Schizosaccharomyces pombe: one gene and its partner. The protein of the gene in region 1 interacts with the protein of each later gene in a pairwise test. Each region holds a gene or a part of one and is shown on either strand. Other genes may lie near its edges.

Region 1 (10,142 bases):
CTCCTCAAAGTCAATGCTAAATATACTTGTGAGCTTAAAGTATCATATTTACATTAATATTAACGACTTACCCATCCTCTTCTAACTGCCCTTCGTTAGGAAACATATTTTCCTTTGGAAGGGTAGTATTAAACCCAAAAAATGACATTTTATGGGTTTATGGTAATGAGAAGTTGGTGGTAGCTAGGTGGGCGGCACTGCATACAACAATACTCATGACAGTAGATTGGGTTGGTTCGACGCAGACTGATTCATGGCGTTTTATATATATTTTTACTTTGCGTTCTTTTTTTATATCTGAATTTTAAAGTTGTTATTTGGTTTGCTATACCAGTAAATCTATCCCTATTTTATTTCACATCAATCTTCAAGACTAGCTATTAAAACCTATCACGTATAGATGTATATCATAAATATGAATTTAAATTTATCTCTTTTTGAAAGACTGAAATGTATCGAAATTTATGCATGAACATACATAAGTTGCTTGCTCAAGCAAGCTACATCAATCTGGCAATGCAGTATAGAAAAAAAGAAATATCTACTAAATTTAACTACTTTACATCATAAATTCAGTGACACTCAAATTGGTAAAAATTAATTTTAAATTATCGTAACATGTAGAGATAAAGGAAATTATTTGGAAGACGATGAATCATTCCAGATCAATTGATCAAATGCCTCCTGTTCGTGAGAAATAGGTTCATCCAACTGTTCAGAGCCTAGATTAGAAGTTCGGGAAGGAAATGCTTCAGAATTTTCTTGTCCACTAAAAGCACTATCTGTGGATTTAACACTCGAGTCTTCTTCGTAAAATGGAAAAGAATTGTTACCGGTATTTCGATTACGGTTACGAATAGCTTCCCATGCTGACGCTGGCTTTGATCGATCTTCAAAGCCATTGTCTTTAGAGTACATGGCGTCCTCTTTCTCCGTACTCTGTGAATTCGTAAAGGGATCTTGACTAGAAGAGGCACCAGTATTCGGCATACTTCCAGGTAATTGATATTTTGAGTTTTTTGGAGGGAATTCAGAAGATGAAGAAGGAAATCTGCCTTGTCGCATCGTTGTTCTTTGTCGAATAAGGGAGTCTTGTATTTTGCGAAGTATTTCAAAGCCATCATCTCTTTGACGTATAGCCGACAAATTGTATGCCAGAGTAGTAATCTGAGCAACCTATTCATAATTTGTAAGCTTGAGCTTAGTATTACTTAAAACTTACCCCATTTCCAGCAAGACCTCCTATAATTGATGTTGCATACAAGCGGATTGGAGTAACCTTTTTGTTACGAGCTAAAAAATAAGAAAGTTATTTTCAATTGCTTGTTCGAAATCTCATACCTAAGTATAATGGGAGAGAAAACCCGACTAGCATCCCAAAAATCGTATTTCTTTTGACACGGTATTTTGCATGATTTAGAAATTCCTTTTGGTCATCACTGAAATGGTTTTGAGGATCATTTAACATTCGTTCCCAAAAAAAATCCATGATAATAAACGTTGGAAGCGATTCCTGAGGCTACACAATAATGTCAAGAATATGAAACGTGCTTATACGGGTTATGTTAGCGAAATAAATGTAATTAAATTATTTGCGGACTGTACAATTTAACCCAATATATAAAAATTTGAGGCCTTTCTAATGTAAAAATACTACTACTAAAAGGTAATAGTACTCATCACTTGTTGCCTTATGGATAGTTTGGATACTGATGTAAGAGGATGTGAATAAGGAGAATCTCTAGGGATTAGGACCATCTAAATTTCCCAGCTACTACAGTGATACTTGGCATGAATAAGAAATACGTATCTGAATAAAAATTTGACACACAAGATTGTTCTGTTGAAATTTCTTATGAAACTGATAGACTGAATTTTTTTTGGCTGGTAAGCACTTGTGATGAAATATGCAACTTTTTCGAACTACGTTTTACATTCCATCTTTCAATGAAACAGACCTTGGTGGCATCAATTCGTGGTATACGATTGTTTTGAATTTTAATATTGCAAGCATATATGTTCAACAGGAATTTCCCAGTTGTTAAATAAGTCTATATCGTATAATTCTTTGTCATTAACCGTATTTATTCATTTTGAACTAATTTAGCACAGAATTCTATCTCGTAAATTAAACAAGCGCCACTGCATTTTACACAGCTAACGAAAAATACAAGAAGGCAATTGAGAAATAGAGAAATAGATGCAATACAGACTTGGTCTTTTTTTTTAAAAAGTTTTGCCAATTTAGACGGATTTTGTATCTAATATGTAGGAACTACTAGTAGTAGTTACAGCTTATTCATTAGTTAATAATGTCCAGATATCGCTTCTACAAAGGAATGAAATGTTGATAAAATTAGTAAAGAAATACAACGATATAATGGTATTTAACACATCTGGCTTATTGGAATTCGTTAATAAAAATAACGAACGCCAATGAAGTGAAATATGCAAGAGATTTTTTATTACGAGTCAATTAAATATACGCTGTCCTAATCAATTGACACACAAATACCTGAAAACTCGCATTTGGTTGTTACTTTGCCTGCATTGGAAGGATATATTTTAAAAAACCTTGTAGTAAAGAAGAATTGGAACTTTTGATGCAAGATTTACTATTCGGTAGTCACTGGATATCGTTGCTCCTTGGATTTGTTTAGCAATCGATTAATCAGACTGCTTCTCACCTATAGTTTGTATTTTCTTTGATCAATTGAAAAACTACGATTTCCAAGAAAATGTCAAAACGATCCTTAGACCCTAGTGATGATTTTAAGGGTCAAAAACGCTTAGCGATTGATCCAGAATCAACTGCCCTCGAACAAGATCGCCAAATGTTACAACAATTATCAGAACAAAATTCTGAACTCGAGCCTCAAAATGTTGCACCAAATGCAGAAATTCCTTTAGGGTTTGATCTTTCCGGAATTCAATTTAATATGACGCCGGACTTTTATTTACGCATGAATCAAGGCATGGATTACGCTTTCAACCAACCTAATCCTATTGCTACACCTCAGCAACTTCTTCGTACATCTCTTATTCCTACTCTTGGTAACCTTAGTAACATAATTTTGTCAATTCTTGGGAAGCCAGTACAAGAGGCATCTGCCATTGTCACTAATCCAGCCTCCGAAATGGGTATGGCCTTTACCAAAGTAATGAATATGTTTCGTATGGTAAAGGACATTTATACTGAAGAATCTTTTATTTATTCCTCTGCCATTGGTATGAGGACGCCGAGTCAAAGAAGTACGACTAGACGCGCAAATCTTGCTATCTTTCTGGCAGCTGTCTATGGAGCGCTACAAATTGGATTTTTTCATTTGAATGAAAATTTTCTGGAGGTTTTTGCTCCGGACGAATCTAATATCCTCACTAATCAGGGCACTCTTTATATGGAACTCAAAACCCAAGCATATATTTCGGCTATGGCTCAGGCAGAACGTCCCAAGGGAGACATATTAAACGATCTTTTTCCCTCTGACATGGCCCATCGATTTCTTATCCGACGAAATGCTAAGCTGGATGACAAACTTACTTATGTTGAAAAGCAAATCATAGAGAAATGTACGGCTAGAAAAGAAAGATTGGCAAACTTCTCCCCACAGGAAGCTTTAAATGAAGTATATCCATGGGGGAAATTTTTAAGCGAGATTGCTTGTTACATCCATAACAATTACTCGTCTATTTCGGCCATTCCAATTCCTGCTAACTCATTCAAACGACGATCCAAGAAGAACGGATTGAGGTTTAAGGCTGGCGAAGCCGAATCATCCCCTTCAGAATCTGGTTCAGACCTGACCGATAGTCTCGCATTTGGTATACCATCTTCAACTTTTGACGGCTCCTCGGAAACACAAAATGTATCCAGTGTCGTTCTTTATGATCAGGTTCGACATATGACAAATAATAACCTAAATAACAAGCGTACGAGGCGCGTAGCCAATCGTCGATCTTGGACAAAAGAGGAAGAGGAAGCATTGCTTGATGGTCTTGATTTAGTAAAAGGTCCCCGGTGGAGCCAAATTTTGGAGCTTTATGGTCCTGGAGGCAAAAAGAGTGAAGTTTTGAAATATCGCAATCAAGTTCAGTTGAAAGATAAGGCTCGCAATATGAAACTATTTTTTCTCAAAAGTGGTCAGGTGGTCCCCGCAGCATTACAATGTGTTACAGGCGATCTTCGGCGAGATTAAGTAGTATCAGGAGTTTATTTCATTCTTGATTAAGTTTGCGATTTTTTTTTAAATACTAAAACGATTAAGCGTGAGGCATTTTATGTATAAATTATAATTATTATTAATCTATGGGTTTTTTGGTGCTAATACTCGGAGGCTATTCATTACAATTGAACATTCCCGTGTATCTTTATTTACAATTTCGGAGGATGACCTGGCAATAGCTTGTTCCACAATATGCGTAACTCGCTGAAAATCGCTTCGGAATACCCGCAAGAGTATTGGATCACGGCGATCAAGCATTTGCATTTTGCTGCTGATAGAAATTGCCAGCTCTTTGAAAAAATAGATACAAATAGTTGCACCATCAAGGATAAAATTTGGTTGCATTTGAAAATATTCTAATAAATTTGGGTAGTCTGGATTACAAATATTAGCCTTTTGAAGTGACCTTTCCCAAAAGACGCATTGTGCACCAATCTTTGAAATTTGGTACCACCCGTCTTCAAATTTGGACCATATAGTAGAATTTGCCGCTGAAGGATCTGTACTGTTATGTAGGAGTCTTCGTGTAGTGGGGGACAGTTGGAAAATCGAGTCGAATTGTATAATGGCCTTCTGTATACGAGAACTTAAAAGACGAGTTAAGTCCTGTTCTAACAAATATTTGTCTAACATATATAAAACAGAGCAAGCATTTGTAAAACCATTAGAGTTCACACTGAAAGAAAGTTGATCTTCTTGTGATAATAGATAGCTGGATGTTTCTTTTATAATTCTCGATCGATTGGTTATATTAAGTTTTAAGAGTAAAGAAACGGACGATTGTCTTTTCTACAATAATTAGCCAAGAAACAGAAAATATATTTCATACCATTAATGGAAACCGGCTTAATAATTGATCAGACTCTTGTAATAGTAAAGATGCTTGATAATAGCGTGAAAGTCTTGAATTTGTTAGCATACCAAAATCATTGAGCAAAACAATAAGCATACTTTTCATTTTCATTAATCGATCCCTGGAAAAGGGGAAATAACTTTGCTTGTATGCCAAAAAACTCCCCAAGCCAATACAAAGTCATGTATGTTGAATGCAAATTTACAATTGCCTCATGAAGGGGACCCAAATTTTCAGATGGAATGACTACCAGCGAACGAATTCTTTCATAAACCAACATCAATTGTTCTAGTTTTCCCTCGATATCTTGCAAATATGACTGAGCATTCAAAGAACTAGATACATTTTTCGTCAACGTGGTTTCCTCATGCACAATCAAATCGGTAATTTGCCGCTCTACTTCTTTGAGTGCATACCCCAACCTCTTTCTGGCGACTTCTTTGTCTTCGTTAACATCGGAGTCAGCATGAACAGAGATTAACACTCGTTCAGCCTGCGCCTTTGGATCGAAATCTGATTTTTTGTAATCTGAAAAATCATATCGAAACTCCATAACAGGAATTTTAAGCGCTTTAAACGAAATTTTTACAAGCTATTTCATAGATTTTAATGATACTTAACTTTAGTTTATTTGACGATCAATCGTAAAACGCAGAATCGATACCAAATCTTACAACGAATGTTTTGAACAAGTAAAATCCGCAATTGAACAGTGTATTCTAGCACTTCTATTCGAAACACGATAACACTACAACTTTATCCTGCAAGTATACGCTTACTTCGTCTGGTGCAACTAATGTAGTATATGAGAGCGTATACCTTAGACACTTTGACCGACTATTGTAAGTAACATGCTACTCATTCATATTCTAAAGAACAAAGAAAGAGATTTTCAAATAGAAGATTGAAAAACTTATCAATTTGAACGTTGAATTTTATCGAACCACGAAGGCTTTTAAAATTCCAACTGAAATCCGCGGCTCTAAGAGTTAGTATGGTTTCAACATACTCCTCAAGTAAACATTCGTCAGGCAGTTACAGTTTTCAAACAAAGTGACTAAAAATGCAGTAAATGTATATATAAACTACTAAAATGTAATACGAATTCATATCTTTGCTCTCAAATAAAGCAAATTTAAATTTATTGGAGTTAACGAAGAGATTAACTTACAAATTGCTATAGGAAATTGACTAAGAATATACTTGAAAAATATGCTGTAGTTTGTCTAAAAAAAATTTTACTGTGGGTATTTAATTCAAAATTTGAAGTTTCAATAAATCTCGAGAATAACAGTAATAATTTGAATTCCAAAGGAAAGAGTAAATTGAATAAAGTAGTACGCAATATATCTCAAAATTGCTATAGGGTAGCTTTCCTGAAAATAGGGCATCATTTAACGAACTTAACCGCAGACTGACTTTATTGTGAAGCTATAGCTATCACTCACTCTAGATTTTGCAACCCATCAAATAGACAGAATTTAAGAGCCAAGCTTCCCTTGTAAAAGAATTGCAAAATCGCTATGGCATTTTCTTTTGGTATGCTTTGAGATTCATCAGTTATAAGTTGCTAACGACTGTAGGTCAACAAGGGTCGTCAATAAAGGCACCTTCCATTGGCTCAACTGGCGTTTTTGGCCAGTCGAATACCACAAAACCAACTGCACCTTTCGGTTCTGGATCTATTTTTGGGTCCACAAACACTAATGTAGGTGCAGGAGGCCCTACTGGTTCTTCGTCAGCTCCACCGTTTGGAAATTCAATTTTCGGTAAAACACAACAACAGCCGACCACTTCTTTCTCCAATACTACCACCAATGCCCCACAAAGTACTGTATTTGGCCAAAACGCTGCATCAAGAACCGGCAACTCAAATACGCAACCATTATTTTCGTGGAGTACAGTCAACAATCCCACAAAACCAGTAGACGAAACCAATGCTACGATCCCTAGCAGCTTATTGCTGTCTTCAGGTATATCCCCAAATGCGACCGTGAGCAATGCTCAATATGGCCCTGCTCAACCTCCGTCCGTGGAGGAGCAAGTGCAGAAAATCTTGAATGCATGGAATCTCAACCATCCTGATTGTGCTTTTCAGCGGTTCTTTTATAACAAGGTTCCTGTTGAGCAAGCTGCACTATATGTTAAGCCTCCAAATTATAACCAACAAAAATGGGACGAAGCTGTTGCTAATCGACCAAGCAACAGTGTTGTTCCCGTTTTGGCCGTAGGATTCCCCGATGTACAAAAAAGAATTAATATGCAGATTCAACAAGTGAACACGTACCGTATTCGGATGCGTGAAATTGTTGAAACTTTAGGAAGATTAAGTAACAAACACGACCTTGATTTTAGCATCAAACTTGCCGAGGCGAAAAATCGTCACGTCCGTCTGTCTGAAAGAATTTTACGACTTGCAATTAAAGTACATGTTTTACGACATCGTGGTTATGCACTAAAACCTAATGAAGAAGAGCTACGTAAAAAATTAGATGATTTAACAAAATCGCTAAATAATCCTGAAATTTTTGGTCGGCTCAACGAAATATGGGCAAGAATTACTCTTATTTTTGAAGGAGAAAAGATATCTGAAGATCAGCGAAGTAATTTGGCTAAGGGAGTAGTGGATTGGCGAAAAAATTCTGATCAACTAGAAGTCATTACGGACGTCTTAAGGGATCATCAAGTTGGTCTTTCATATGTGGTAAAACTGATGCAAGAAGATTTAGCGACGTTGAACAAGCAATTAACTGAGCACGTTCCTCAATCACAAAAATAGCGGTAATTCCTACTTCACGTTATTTTCTGTATTTAATTAAATTAGAAACGACCAACATGAAAATCATAGTTAGGTTCCTTTTTTTATTTTTCTGGTAACCGAATTTTTTTTAAGAAATTCATCTAATTGGGAGTCAATTGATTGACAAGTGGTCCAAAAGATATTACTGACTTAAAATTACATATAACGGCGCAGCATCGCACAGGAAATCTATGAACTCTCTATACACATTTAGCTACCAGTTCAATCCATGAACGATTTCTATAATAACCATTTTTTAGTGACTTTACATTCAAAATCAAATAATTCAACCCACTCATGTAAAATTTACGACTCGATCAAGAACGGTAAAAATAAATTGTCTGATTATTTACATACAGTCGATCATAAAATTGTATTCGACGTACAATAACCATCCATTTTTATAGCACAAAAGCCAACACTTGGAATAAATGTTTTTATGCTCGCATCTTTTGAAAAAAAGAAATAACAAAAGGAGCTTATATAAAAGTTAGAAAACCAAGTGAAACCATTACAATTAAAAAAGCTTACTTAACAACAAGACAGCGGCAACTGAGGCACCCTTTTTCATTTCCTAATTATCCATTTCGTTAATATGCTATAGATACGAGAGATAATTACATACGCCGACAGCCAAATTATCATACTGCTTGATTTGCTCTTTACTAGGGCGTCCTGCACCAGAAAACATCTTTATAGTACGTTTATTAACGGTTATTCGAGAAAGAGCTTGTGTGTTTGGCAGAAGCTGGAATAAGTTGGAACATTCACCGACACAGAGAATAGCTTGAATGGTACACCTCGCATCGTTAGACATCGTTAATTATATCATGTTGTTTGTCACTATATTGTAAGCTACGCAGTTTGGTATCTGATTTAAGGATACGTAGAGCTGCGGTAAGTTTTCCTTGTGATCTATTATATTACAATACACAGGTTGTATAAGTAGCAACTGGATATAGGTATTGTATTAACTAGGTTATGATGTTACCTATCACTAATATAGCTCATAACTGAACTGAGGAACGAGGTTCAGCAGTAGCTCTATTTATAGTATTCAGATAATATAGATCTTAATAGATTATCATTAAGATCAATCTCCATATCGTATCATACATGGTACGATATATAATTAGAACATGTGACATATAGTGATACGCAAGTAGTGTATCATAGCGTAGTGTAGTATTGCTGACAGTATACATGCATTACCGAAATCTACAGTTTTTGAACAATGGTGGAGGCTACGCTAGTTCTATTTCATTACTTCTACATATTGGCGGCAGTAAACGTTGAAATTTTTTCAGACTCCCAATTCTAATTAAGTTGTCAAATTTCTGATTCTCCAAAGATGTCAGAAGAAGAAAAGGCTGAGCTTGAAAATATGCAAGTTGAATCTGAGGCAAAAACTTCCGAGAATGATCAAACCATTGATACGAAAGTAGACGTTGCTGATGTTACAACTCATGTGGATGAAGATTTAGATAATAAGGAAGAAGCCCTTGATTTCTCTGAAGATGAATTATCGGATTTGGATGAAAATCAATTTGAAAACTTTGACGAATCCAAAATCGGACGTGAAGCTGAGGAACCTACTATTTATAATCTACCTACGTTTAAGAAGAAGCAAGAGCCAAATACGATTGAAGAAAACCTTGAAGTTCCAAGGAAGGTTAGGAAAGAGCAAAAGCCACGTAGACGTCGTGGTAAGCGTTCATCGACTGTTGATGCTCTCAATGATGAATTAAATGAGCTCGGGGAGAATGAAGAAGAAGTTTTGACTGAACAAAAGCAATTGGATCCCACGCTAGCCGCAAAAAAAGAGTTGGATCTTCAAATGGACGCTGTTCTTAAGCCAACTCGAACAAAGAAGCGATCCAATGAAGACAATCTTGAACAGATGGCTGATGATGAAGTCCTTCGTCTACGCGAACAAATGCGCTTGGCTGCACTTCGTGATGCTGAATTGAATTCGGAACAACTACCGGCTACTGAGAAGTTAAAGATGCTTCCACTAGTTGATGCTGTACTTAGAAAGACCCATCTTTACGATACTATACTGGATAATAACGTCCTTGACTCCGTTCGAATGTGGCTTGAACCTTTACCAGATCGTTCGTTACCAGCGTTGAATATCCAACGATCTCTTATGGACATTTTAACAAAATTGCCCATCCAGACAGAACATCTTCGTGAAAGTAAAATAGGTCGTATTGTTTTGTTTTATACTATCTCGAAAAAGCCCGAGCCATTTATTAAGAGAATA
Region 2 (11,328 bases), on another chromosome or scaffold:
ATCCAGATCTGAAAGTTACTTGTTTACATTTTCTGTTGAATTACTAAAAATTTTTTTTTGCTACATTCACTGTCTTAGAGGCGCTGTTCCATCCTATTTTACTTATAAACTTACTGTTTTCAAGGCAAAACTACATTTCGTGTGTCGTTGCTGTCTGTACATTAAATCTACCCGGGGGAAGGAGTTGAATGGAAAAGGAGGCCATGCTCCACAATAGTTAAATAGCTGTGTTGAAAATCCATTTAACTGAAAGGCAAACTCGTACATTGTTGTGACGATGCCGGTCTTTCTCATCTATTCCCATCTCAAAAAAGTAACAACCTTCTGTGAACGAATTTTTTTTCCCGAGTCATCCGTTACAGCTTCGGATAGAAAAACCATCACTACCTTGTAGTTAAAAAACATTTATTTAAAAAAGAAATTATCCGCTATCTACCTGGTTTTTTTTACTCGTGCTGGAAGTCGCCTCTGTGTGCCCCCGTTATTTACTACTGACATATATAGCGATTTTCGGTGAGCGTCAAACACAACTTCTTCCCCAAACAGCGCCATTGTCAATTTCACGAATTTTTGAATGTTTGGGATTGTGGAAGTCGACATCGTTTCTTGAGATTATACTACTTGTAAAAGTGCTGTTTACATCTAGTCACTCGAAGTTTTGATTCGTTTGAGAAATTGCTGAAGATTATATCTCGATCTTGACTTAAATTCAAGAGAAAATAGTGTTTTTTTTTAATAAATGCTAGAATATTTATCCATTTCCCTTGGATATTTTACTTTTTTTTCTTTTTGAAAATATAGATCAGATCATTGATTTTCTGTTTTAAGAGTTCCCCTTTTACGTAACAACTTCCTTTTTGGTTAAATCATATTAAGTATTTTTAACCATCACTGATTCTAGTGTCTGAATCAATTACTAATAGTCTTATTACTGTGCTTTGCTTCTTTGTTGACCAAAAAGTTTTATAACTCAGAATCTTTAGGACCTTTCCAATCCAATTTAACATTTAATCATTTTTAAATCCCTCTCTTAATTTCAAAGGTATAAAAAAGAAAGAAAAAATTTTTTCTAAAAAATTCGTTGCCATGTCGTCAGTGAATTCAATTCCCACAGCAACTTCTACTGTTTATATTTCAGTACTGCCAGCTACAGCTACACCTAGTGGTGGTAGTGGTGGAAATGTTTTGCACGAAGATCTTAATAAATTTTATGATTATGGAAACACTAGTTGGATTTTAGCTTGTACTCCATTGTGTCTTATTATGGTGCCTGGTGTGGCTTTTTTCTACTCTGGCTTAGCAAGAAGGAAAAATACATTGGCTCTTATCATGCTCTCTATGCTTGGTTTATGTGTTAGTTTTTTCCAATGGTATTTCTGGGGTTATTCTCTTGCTTTTTCTCAAACTGGAACCTCTGGTTATATTGGCAATCTTCGTCATTTTGCCTTTATTCGCACACTTGCCGATTACTCTCCTGGTAGCAATAATATTCCCGAGCTTGTATTTGCAAATTTTCAAGGAATGTTCGCCGCAATTACTGTAGCCCTCTTCACTGGTGCCGCCGCTGAAAGAGGTCGTATTGGTCCAATGCTCATCATCACATTTGTGTGGCTCACTGTCGTTTATTGTCCCATAGCGTGTTGGATTTGGAATCCAAATGGTTGGGCTTTTAAATTTGGTGTATACGATTTCGCTGGCGGAGGACCTGTAGAAGTTGGATCAGGATTTGCAGCTTTGGCGTATACGGTTTGTTTAGGACGTCGATCCAAATTTGTTGAGGAACAATTTCGCCCTCATTCTGTGCTCAATGTTGTATTGGGAACATCTCTGCTATGGTTTGGTTGGCTTGGTTTCAACGGTGGTAGTGCTTACGGCTCCAATCTGCGAGCCGCTATGGCAATCACCAACACAAACTTAGCAGGTGCTGTAGCTGGTTTAGTATGGGTTATTTACGACTACATTTTTCGCACTAGGAAATGGTCAACCATAGGTTTTTGTTCCGGGGTTGTTGCCGGTTTGGTGGCTGCAACGCCTTGTGCTGGTTTTGTGAGTCCTCATGCCTCTTTGGCAATTGGTGCTATTACTGGCTTATGTTGCAATTGGGCCATTAAGTTAAAGTCACATATGCGCATTGATGATGCGATGGATATTTTCGCTATCCACGGTGTTGCGGGTTTTGTGGGTACCTTTTTGAATGGTTTGTTTGCCGTTGATTATATCGCAGCAATGGATGGTATTTATGTTGGTGAAAACAAAATCAGAGGTGGTTGGTTTGATCACCATTGGCGCCAACTAGGCTTGCAAATGGCCTATATTTGTGCTGTTGGTGCATACGACTTTGTTGTCACGTTTATCATTTTATTCATTACGGACAAAATTCCCTACCTTCAACTTCGAGTGAGCCCTGATGCTGAAGAAATTGGTGTGGATGCTGATCAAATAGGTGAATACGCGTTTGATTATATTGAAGAACGTCGTGAATATAAGCATTGGAAGATTTCCCCTGCCGGTGTACCTGAAGAAATCATTATTTCCAATGGCGTTGCTCAACCTACTGGAAATGTGGCTGCTCCCGGCAAGATTCTAGAATCAACAAACCCATTGGAGCTTGGACTTACGATCTAAATCTTTTTGCATCGTACAAAGTTATTTGGGTTTAAAAAAAAAAAGTAAAAGGTTGAATTGGAGAAAAGATTTTAAGTTAATAAAAGAAATGAAAATTTTGGTAGATTGGTTTATGATTGTTTAAAGAAAAAAAGAAAATAGCACAACTACAAGGTCGCTGTTTGGGAAGTTTTGAACAAAATTACAAAGACTAGAAATTTCTTGAAAGATTTGCTTGTTTTTACTTCTAAAGAGGTCAGAATCTTAAATTATAATTTTAAGGTTTTTTTTTTGTTAACAGCATTTAAAATGAATTCGGTTTAAAGGCAAGACTAATAATTGTAATGAAAATATTTTTATGCGAATTTGGTTTGTAATTTGTGTATCCAAATATGAAGAGAATTAATTATCTTATAAGCCAAAAGATTTAAAATGAGCAAGTCAATCTTTGTTTCCAGTCATAATAAGTTTGTATTTTGTATAATCATCATTCACCATGAAACCAATGAATAGGTACAAAAAAGTACGTCGAATTAGGCTTTAATAACTATTTACTGTTTACGAATTTACCGGAAGTGAAAACCTCACTACTGCATCGAAACAAAAAATAAAAAGTAAACTCCCACTGCGAGACTCGAACTCGCAACCTTCCGGTTAAAAGCCGGACGCTCTAAGCCGATTGAGCTAAACGGGACTTGGTTGAATGGGGTTAAACTTAGTAGTTTATATCTAATTACTTTTAGAACGTATTTTTAATGAGAATATTGAATATGAAATTTCTATATAAACTTGGCGATTGAAATTGATAATTAGCGAATCTCTTGTATCCATATATGTATATTTTATATGTATTTAAATAATATTCAGTTTTGAATAAAGAAGAGTCTTTGAGTCTTAAATTAGGCAATAGATGATGAGTTCCTATGAATTTTTTTAATTTTTTAATAAAAATAACAAATCAAATTAAAGTAAAGGTTAAAAAAATATAAAATTCAAGAAAGAAACATGTTGAGTTATTCTACTCATTATTACAAAAATAATATGTAATGTCTGAACCATCATTCCGCTTTACTAAATGTTTTATTTATTTTATTGCATTACTGTTAAGATGTCAATTTATATATATATTCAATAAAACTGTAAGAGGGTTTGAAGGGCCAGTAAAATTAGCAGTCTATAGTAAGATATATAATTTATAATTTTTATGAACTTTGGTACTCTTGTTTCAGTAAATTGTGTGAATTTATTTATAGTGCTAATAAGATAAATTCGATGAGGATAATTTCTTACAAGTGCCAAACAGTTGAAGTAATAACTTTATTCATAGTATGGATTTTTTTTTTCTACTTCTCTTTCATTTTTGACCTACATATTCCATTTCTACTTTCTCTACCGCCATTGGATTCGCTCATCCCTCTAGTACTTACGTTGCTTTTTCCTTCCTTCTTCCACACACCAGTGACAAAAAAGCTTGTATATTCAATTGTCTCTTGATTTTTATCAAATACAAGCTGAGATTAAAAGAGCTGGACATTTACTACAAATTTTAGTTGTTTGCTTAATTCCCATTGGTTTTTGTTTTGTAAAAGTACGTGCGGGAATCATACTCTTATTGAACTTCTTATACCTTACACGTAGCGTCGATTGAAAAGATTTTATTTCTCAACTCATCTAAAAATTGCTTTCTTTTTTAAGGCCTTCATCTGGATATATCATTTATCTCCGTAAAGCCACCTTTTTTAACCGCTTTTACGTTTGGGAGATCTGAACCCTTTACCTCATTATTTTAATTCCTTAAAGTATTAAAGTTCACTAGCTTTTCTTCTAATTGTTGGCTTTTTTCGTTTTATGACTGATAATAATTCAAAGAGCAAAGATTCTTCACAAAAAATTCCAAATGATTCGTTAACTCCCACTATTTCGAAAGGTTTAAGAAAAGATGTTTTTTATTGGACTAAAGCCATAGCTTATACAACGTGGAATTTCTTCGATTCTAGTCCAGTTACACCTCAAAGAAATCCCATATCTCTGTTCGTGCGTGGCCTTTCTCATCCTTTTTTACGCCATCGTTTATCCAAATCCCAATTTAATGAATGGTTTTTATCACATAACGGTGTTGATCCAGTTCAAGCTCAAACATTGCCCGATCCTCTTTTGTTTGATATTCCGGACCATCAAGAAACGTCTTATAGTTTGCTTGAAGGTTACTCAGTCACTGCTCACGATCATTCCGACACTTCACCTTTGCCGATAACAAGCTCCAACCAAAAGGAAGGCAAAAAAAATGTATCATCGATTGATGTGTCAATGGTTTCCGACTCTTCTGAATTTAAGCCCGATAGCTTACAACACGAAAAATTGGTGAAGAAATGCAATCAACTTCGTCTTCAAAAGCTCATTAATTCTAGCGAACTTGCACAGATTGATTTGGAGTTGTCCAAACTCTATTCTCGAAGAAGGCAAGTTCTTGAACGCCTTAGCAAGATCGAGGAACAGAATTTAAAGTATACTTCCAAGCTGGCTTCTGTTGAGAAACTGATGTTAGATTCGGATGCTCAAGATTTGTATAGCTCATATTCTCATGATTTAATTCCTTCACAAATTGAAGCGGGTAAAAATGGAGCTAACCCCGATGTTTTTGATGATACACACGACAAGTATACAGATAATTTATCTGCTAGGGCTATCTCTCCAAGAGCTCCAAGGCCATCTACGGCTAGTGAAGTGGTATCAGATTACTTTGAACAGAATTCCGCTTTTTCTAAAGCACCAGAGAATACTGAATCATCTGTGAATCAAAATTATATAGTTGGAAATCTCGTAAAGCAGTTTCAAGCTCATTCTGAATATATTACGAGTCTTGATTTTTCCCATCCTTTTGGAACTTTAGCTACGGCCTCGACTGACAAAACTGTGAAAGTTTGGGATATGGCGGGTGTTGTATACCTGGGTTCATTGAAAGGTCATTCTGATTATGTTTCTTGTCTGGCGATTCAAGACTCCTTTATTGCTACTGGCTCTATGGATACAACCGTGCGGTTATGGAATTTAGATAATGATGTACTTCATAAGGATAATCCTGTTGAAGAGAGCCTTAATTCTCCTCCCGATCAACCTGTTGACAATGCCACAAATGTTTTAACATCTCACACTGCCCCTGTCACTGCATTAGCATTATCTAGTGATGATGTGCTTATAACCGGTGCCGATGATAAAACTGTTCGACAGTGGGATATCGTTACGGGGCGTTGTATTCAAACTTTGGACTTTGTGTGGGCGGAAACTCATGATACATCTACTAGTCAAATTTTGGTCAGTGACACTTACAAACAAGAACCTTTCATCAGAGCTTTAGACTGCTTAGATGCTGCTGTGGCTAGTGGGACTGTCGATGGACTTATTCGCATCTGGGATTTGCGAATCGGTCTTCCTGTGAGAAGTTTCATTGGGCACACAGCTCCTATTTCTTCTTTGCAATTCGATTCCAACCATTTGTATTCCGGAAGCTATGACAATTCTGTTAGAATATGGGATTTACGAAGTGGCTCGCCAATTAATATTATACCTATGGAGAAAAAAGTGAATTCCTTAAGACTGTATCAAGGTCGTCTTGCTGTAGCATCTGATGAACCAAATGTTAGGATATTTGATACTGTATCTAATCGGAACTGGATTTGTTCAATTCCTTCTCACTCTGATTCCATAGCAGCCGAACCTAACTCAGTACCTACTTCTGTTCAATATAAAGATCGCTTTTTGGTGGATGGAAAGTCTGATGGATCTGTTAGCGTTTTTTCTGCTTAATTTGTATTTTTTATCCACACCTTTATTTATTATACTCTCGTTATTGTGTTGAATCTGGATAACGTTAATTTTAAAATTTTATGTCTTTATGCTTTGGTTAATGGGTATTAACTTCTGTTTGGTTTTTTTATTTATTTATGGACAAATAAAAAGGAACGAGACATTGCGAATAAAAAACTGTGATGTTAATTTTGTTCAAAATATTTAAAAAAATTCTCAAAGCAAATTGTTTGATCACCACCTCCCTTCTGCTTCTTATACTGTAGGTTTAAAATTTAGTAAATAAAAATCTTTTCTAGTTTACATTTTTTTGGTTTTACTAGTATGAAGTACGCAACCTCATTCTGATCTGAGATGTTGTATTTCATTTTGTTGATCCAGTTTACAAAACACGCTCAGCGTGTTTAATGTCAACTACACATAATAAGTATTGAAGAATCTTTTTGAAATTAGCAATTTGAACTCACACAGTGAGTAAAATATGGAAATAACCAAGCTCTTTTTATATTTCAGATTAACTGAATGGTCATTTTATTTTTGAAGCATAAATAGTCATAAATGCTAAAATTTCAAAATTTTACATCTGCAATATATATAGAGAATTAAACAACTGCGTTCATCTGTCGTCAACAGTCTAACAATGTCAGAAAACTGGTAGCGTTACTTTTTAAAACATCGACATAACTTTTAGCATTTTGTATGAGGCTATTTTAAAAACTAAGTAGAGAACATGATAGGTCCAAGCATTCCAAATCACAAAGAATATATTTAACATGTAAGAGTGTTAATACCAAAAAAGTATGTACTGAGGGCAAAAGATAATAAAGAAGTCATAAGTCATAACAAGATAAAATAAGAAAGTTATAAGAAAAGATGTGTATAATTAATGCTTATTCTCAAGCTTTTTCCAAGTGTTGAAAGCACGTACAGCGTTATAGGCAGTACGGAACGTTTTTCTTGCATTGAAATTTTCCCGGACGTTTGGAAGCAAATTGGAGGTTGCGGGACGCTTTTCAGACAGGAAGGGGTGCTTCAACGCATCAGCAGCAGTTAAACGTTTCGAAGGGTCGTTTTCCAAACATTTTTTAATAAAGTCCTTGGCCGTTTCTGAAATGCCAGACCAGCAAGGATCGTTAAAAGTGTACTCGTTAGCTAAAATTGCTTCTATAACTTCAACCTGAGAAGGTCGAGCAAATGGAGTATAACCACTGAGTAAAAAATAAGTTATAACGCCAATAGCCCACATATCTCTATAAACAGTATTAGTCAAGATACATAACTTCTGAATTAAAATGGTAGTTGATCAACTTACACAGGTTTTCCATATCCGGTTCGACGAAAGACTTCGGGTGCCATGTACTCTGGTGTCCCACATGCCGTCATGAGCATATAGTATTGAGAATCCTCATAAAAGTGGGACAATCCAAAATCGGCAATTAACAAATCTGAATTCGGATCTTTAGAGCGATAAAGTAAATTTTCTGGCTTCAAATCTCGATGTACAATTCCATTGTCATGCAAGTACTTAACTGCTGATGTGGTAGTACGCATTAAAGCAGCAGCATCGGCCTCATAAAATGAACCTTTGGCACATATTCTATCAAAAAGTTCACCACCGGTGGCCAGTTCAGTGATTAAGTACACTGTTTCAAGGGTTAGTGAACAAAACACATCACAATAACATTTGATTCATCAAATCGAAATCGGAGACATACGATTATTCACAGTTTCAAAAAAATCAACCAAGTGTAAGATATTAGGATGTTCATAAGAAACACGTTTTAGAATTGCAATTTCATTCTTCACCTATACCACCAAAAACATGTTAGTAAACGTAAATAAGGATGCTGTAAGTACTTAAGTCTTTACTTACAAAGTCTTGTTTCTTCTCCATCATCTTTTTATTCATAATCTTAGCCGCATACATTCTATGAAAATTTGGTCAGCAAACAACTCGAATTTAAAATATACTTACTTGTTAGTTTCGATATGAACGGCTTCACGAACCGTCGCATATGTTCCGCCTCCCAAAACCCGACCGACACGATATTTGCAAGGTAATAGTTGTTTCTGATCCACCGTAGCCTTTGGAGCACCGTCTTTCAAGGCCGAGGTGTTTGGTTTGTATGTTTGCTGCATAGCTGTAAAGAATCAATAGATGAATTATTCCAATGCCAACGAAGGTAAACGTAAAAGGTTTCTCTTAATGTAAATTATTGTATTGTTAGATGGTGCCATAAACAATTCTGTACTACAGAATTCTTTTATGAAACCAAAAATGTAAAGGTATGTAAATGAAAAAAATCCCGTAGAAACAATAAAGAAAATATTATTTGCGCGAAGCAGGCTGTTGAGTTAAACGGTGGTTCAATAACAGAATGATCTAAGCAGCGCAATGACTGTCCACCAACTTATGACAATAAGTGCTTAGCCTCAACTTGTAAATATGGAAAAATTTGGAAAAGGTATATTGAAATCCTCGGATTTAACAGGATATTGATATTGAATGTACCCGAATAGTATTGATGAAGATAACAAGAAAACCAGCGTCTGATAAATACCGTCCAACTGATTTGCAATTGCAAAACCAGTAGTCTGCAGTATAGTCATAAATCCTGGTAATTCCCAATCGGTTCAGTAATTTCCGTACCTATTTTCCTCTTCTAAGAGAAAACAAGATCAGAAAGATCAAAATTACAATTAGCGTATTGAAACCACCAAACACTGTAACAATGCAACACAATTATTTAAAGAATTGAATTTAATTATACAATCCTTAAAAAATCGCAGTTTTATGAGCAATTGGCAAAACGCGAACTGCTTGAAATTTCGCTGATATTACCAGCTCATGAGAGTTAAGTAGATATAACAAGCCATCATGGCGAATATTGGTCACTAACGTATACCGTAATAATGCGCTATCCCATGCATTTTAGTTTGTTTAAATACAGTAAGCGTATTAACAACATAGAACAGAATACGAAAAGGTAACCACGTAACAAAGATTCATACTGTAACAAAAATTGTGAAAAACAGACTGAGTGTAAATTGAGCTAATAAAATCGATTTTGAATGATTACTTTTATAATCTTTTCCATCTTGGAAGAGGTATTTAGTTATTTGAGAAAGAACCGAACTACCTTCTGAAAGGAATACCATACATTTTACAATAGCAGTGAGTATGGTATGTTAATTTCTCATATGCTTCTTGTATGATAGTTAGTCGAAATGTATTGGAGATAATGTTGAAGAAGTAAATAGTAAAAAATGCGCATGCATGCTTGACTCCATTTGTTCTACAGTACTTTACCCTTGCTATGATATAAATTCAAAGTATCGGTTTAAACAGACGAAACCAATAAGGGTTTAAACTCACATGGGTTTTTGAAGGAAGATGAGTCTACAATGTAAACTATTCAACTCTTAAATAACACTTTTTGATAAATCGCGATATAGCCAAAAACTAGAAGAACCCTAAGTAACTTCTTCTTATTAAGGTATAAAACAAGTTTTCTACATTGCGAATAACGAATAGAGATGAATGCATTAATTCTAACATTGAAAATAATATAGTCGATCCTTTGGATTCCAAATAAATTATGAAAACCATTTAAATCATTAATTAAAAATAAATTATGAGATGGATGCAATAAAAACCTGAAATTAATCAATAACCTTGAACCATCTTTGTAGGTGCCTTCCCTAAAAAGAAATCTATTAATGGAAAATTGCTCAACAGCACTAACGGAATTAAACCTGCAAGCATACCAAATTCTGAGCTAGACTCAATGTAACCCAATTTCTTCATCTCCGACAGTGCAGCCACCTCAAGTTTTTCGCTCACAGCTTGTTTATCCCTACAGCCTAAAAACATGGTTATACTCTTTTCTGTCTCGAAAGAAGGGGTCAAGGTTGCAGGTTGAATAAGTTCATGAAGACAACTCAAAAGTGAGTTTAAATTTCCAAATTTTACTACATTAATCCTCGACCGAACACTATCTGTTACATCAGATAATCTCAAATCGAGTTTCGTATGTGTTTGAGAAGGAATAAAGGTCTGAGAATGCTGGTCTGTTGTAAATCCGTTTGGCTTAGTTATTTTTCGAATGTTTTTTCGAAGTTTCGGCCATACCTTAAAAGCTGAGTCATTATGCTTGCTTAACAGCACTTCACTTGTGTAAACGACATTAGGCAATGACGTCGCATAATCATCTTTATAGAATTCATCATATGTGTAAATATAGGCTATACTCGTCTCTTCATACAAAAACTTAAGTAAAAGCTCCAATGCAATTAAATCATTTTCAGTACCCAAATATATGAGAATTACAACCTTGCTTCTTTCATATGTAGAGCCTTTTTCTTTCACACTAATCTCAACCTGATCAAAGGACTTCTTGTCCTTTTCTAATTGTTCAAAATCATTCTTCGGTGAACCATACTCAGTACTACGTATGATAGGCCTAATTTTTTTCACTGATAAATTGTGAGGATTACGTGTGAAAAATACTCCAACTGGGATCCGGGCCATCTTTATTAAAGGAATCAACTCATCCAAAGATTTAAAAGAATCACCCAAAGCTAAGCGGATGGAACTCAAAGACAGAGGAGAAGAAGAGCTCTCATTCTCAATTGTTTTATAATCCTTCAAATAGGGCATGATCAAAATGTTTGAAGAAGACTTCTTCAACGTCTCAAGAACCACATTGTAATAACCAGTTCCACTCACTAGCAAGGCATTGCTTTCGTACTCAAATTTTTTTATTTTTACAAACGTTTCAAACAATCCCATTAGTGCTTCATTTTCAACCTTATTATCGACCTGTGAGGCCCTCAATAGATTTGAAGTACGAGAATCAACAAAAAGTGTCCAAATACTATGAATAATTATTTGAGGCAGATGTAGACAGCCACTCACTT

What was found.
Region 2: the proteins of nup44 (region 1) and mdv1 interact in a two-hybrid assay, tested with the Schizosaccharomyces pombe proteins (2 studies listed by BioGRID).

Annotation. Positions count from the first base shown.
Region 1 is NC_003423.3:2,371,436-2,381,577, forward strand, and holds nup44 (nucleoporin Nup44), read left to right. Parts: upstream 1-6,527; 5' UTR 6,528-6,599; coding exon 6,600-6,615; intron 6,616-6,659; coding exon 6,660-7,855; 3' UTR 7,856-8,229; downstream 8,230-10,142. Other genes in the region: pdc2 (topoisomerase II-associated deadenylation-dependent mRNA-decapping factor), read right to left, coding at 1-16, 72-148; SPOM_SPBC19G7.18C (uncharacterized protein), read right to left, coding at 637-1,176, 1,223-1,293, 1,342-1,489; tbf1 (DNA-binding factor Trf1), read left to right, coding at 2,739-4,196; COG complex subunit Cog5, read right to left, coding at 4,305-5,012, 5,053-5,125, 5,175-5,629; TOM complex subunit Tom5, read right to left, coding at 8,314-8,354, 8,408-8,450, 8,502-8,567; transcription elongation factor complex subunit Iws1, read left to right, coding at 9,228-10,142. UniProt on the Schizosaccharomyces pombe protein: Functions as a component of the nuclear pore complex (NPC).
Region 2 is NC_003424.3:1,730,541-1,741,868, forward strand, and holds mdv1 (CCR4-Not complex subunit Caf4/Mdv1), read left to right. Parts: upstream 1-4,054; 5' UTR 4,055-4,452; coding exon 4,453-6,408; 3' UTR 6,409-6,767; downstream 6,768-11,328. Other genes in the region: plasma membrane ammonium transmembrane transporter Amt2, read left to right, coding at 1,087-2,625; calcium/calmodulin-dependent protein kinase Cmk1, read right to left, coding at 7,292-7,658, 7,721-8,051, 8,124-8,214, 8,282-8,336, 8,384-8,547; potassium ion/proton antiporter Kha1, read right to left, coding at 10,076-11,328.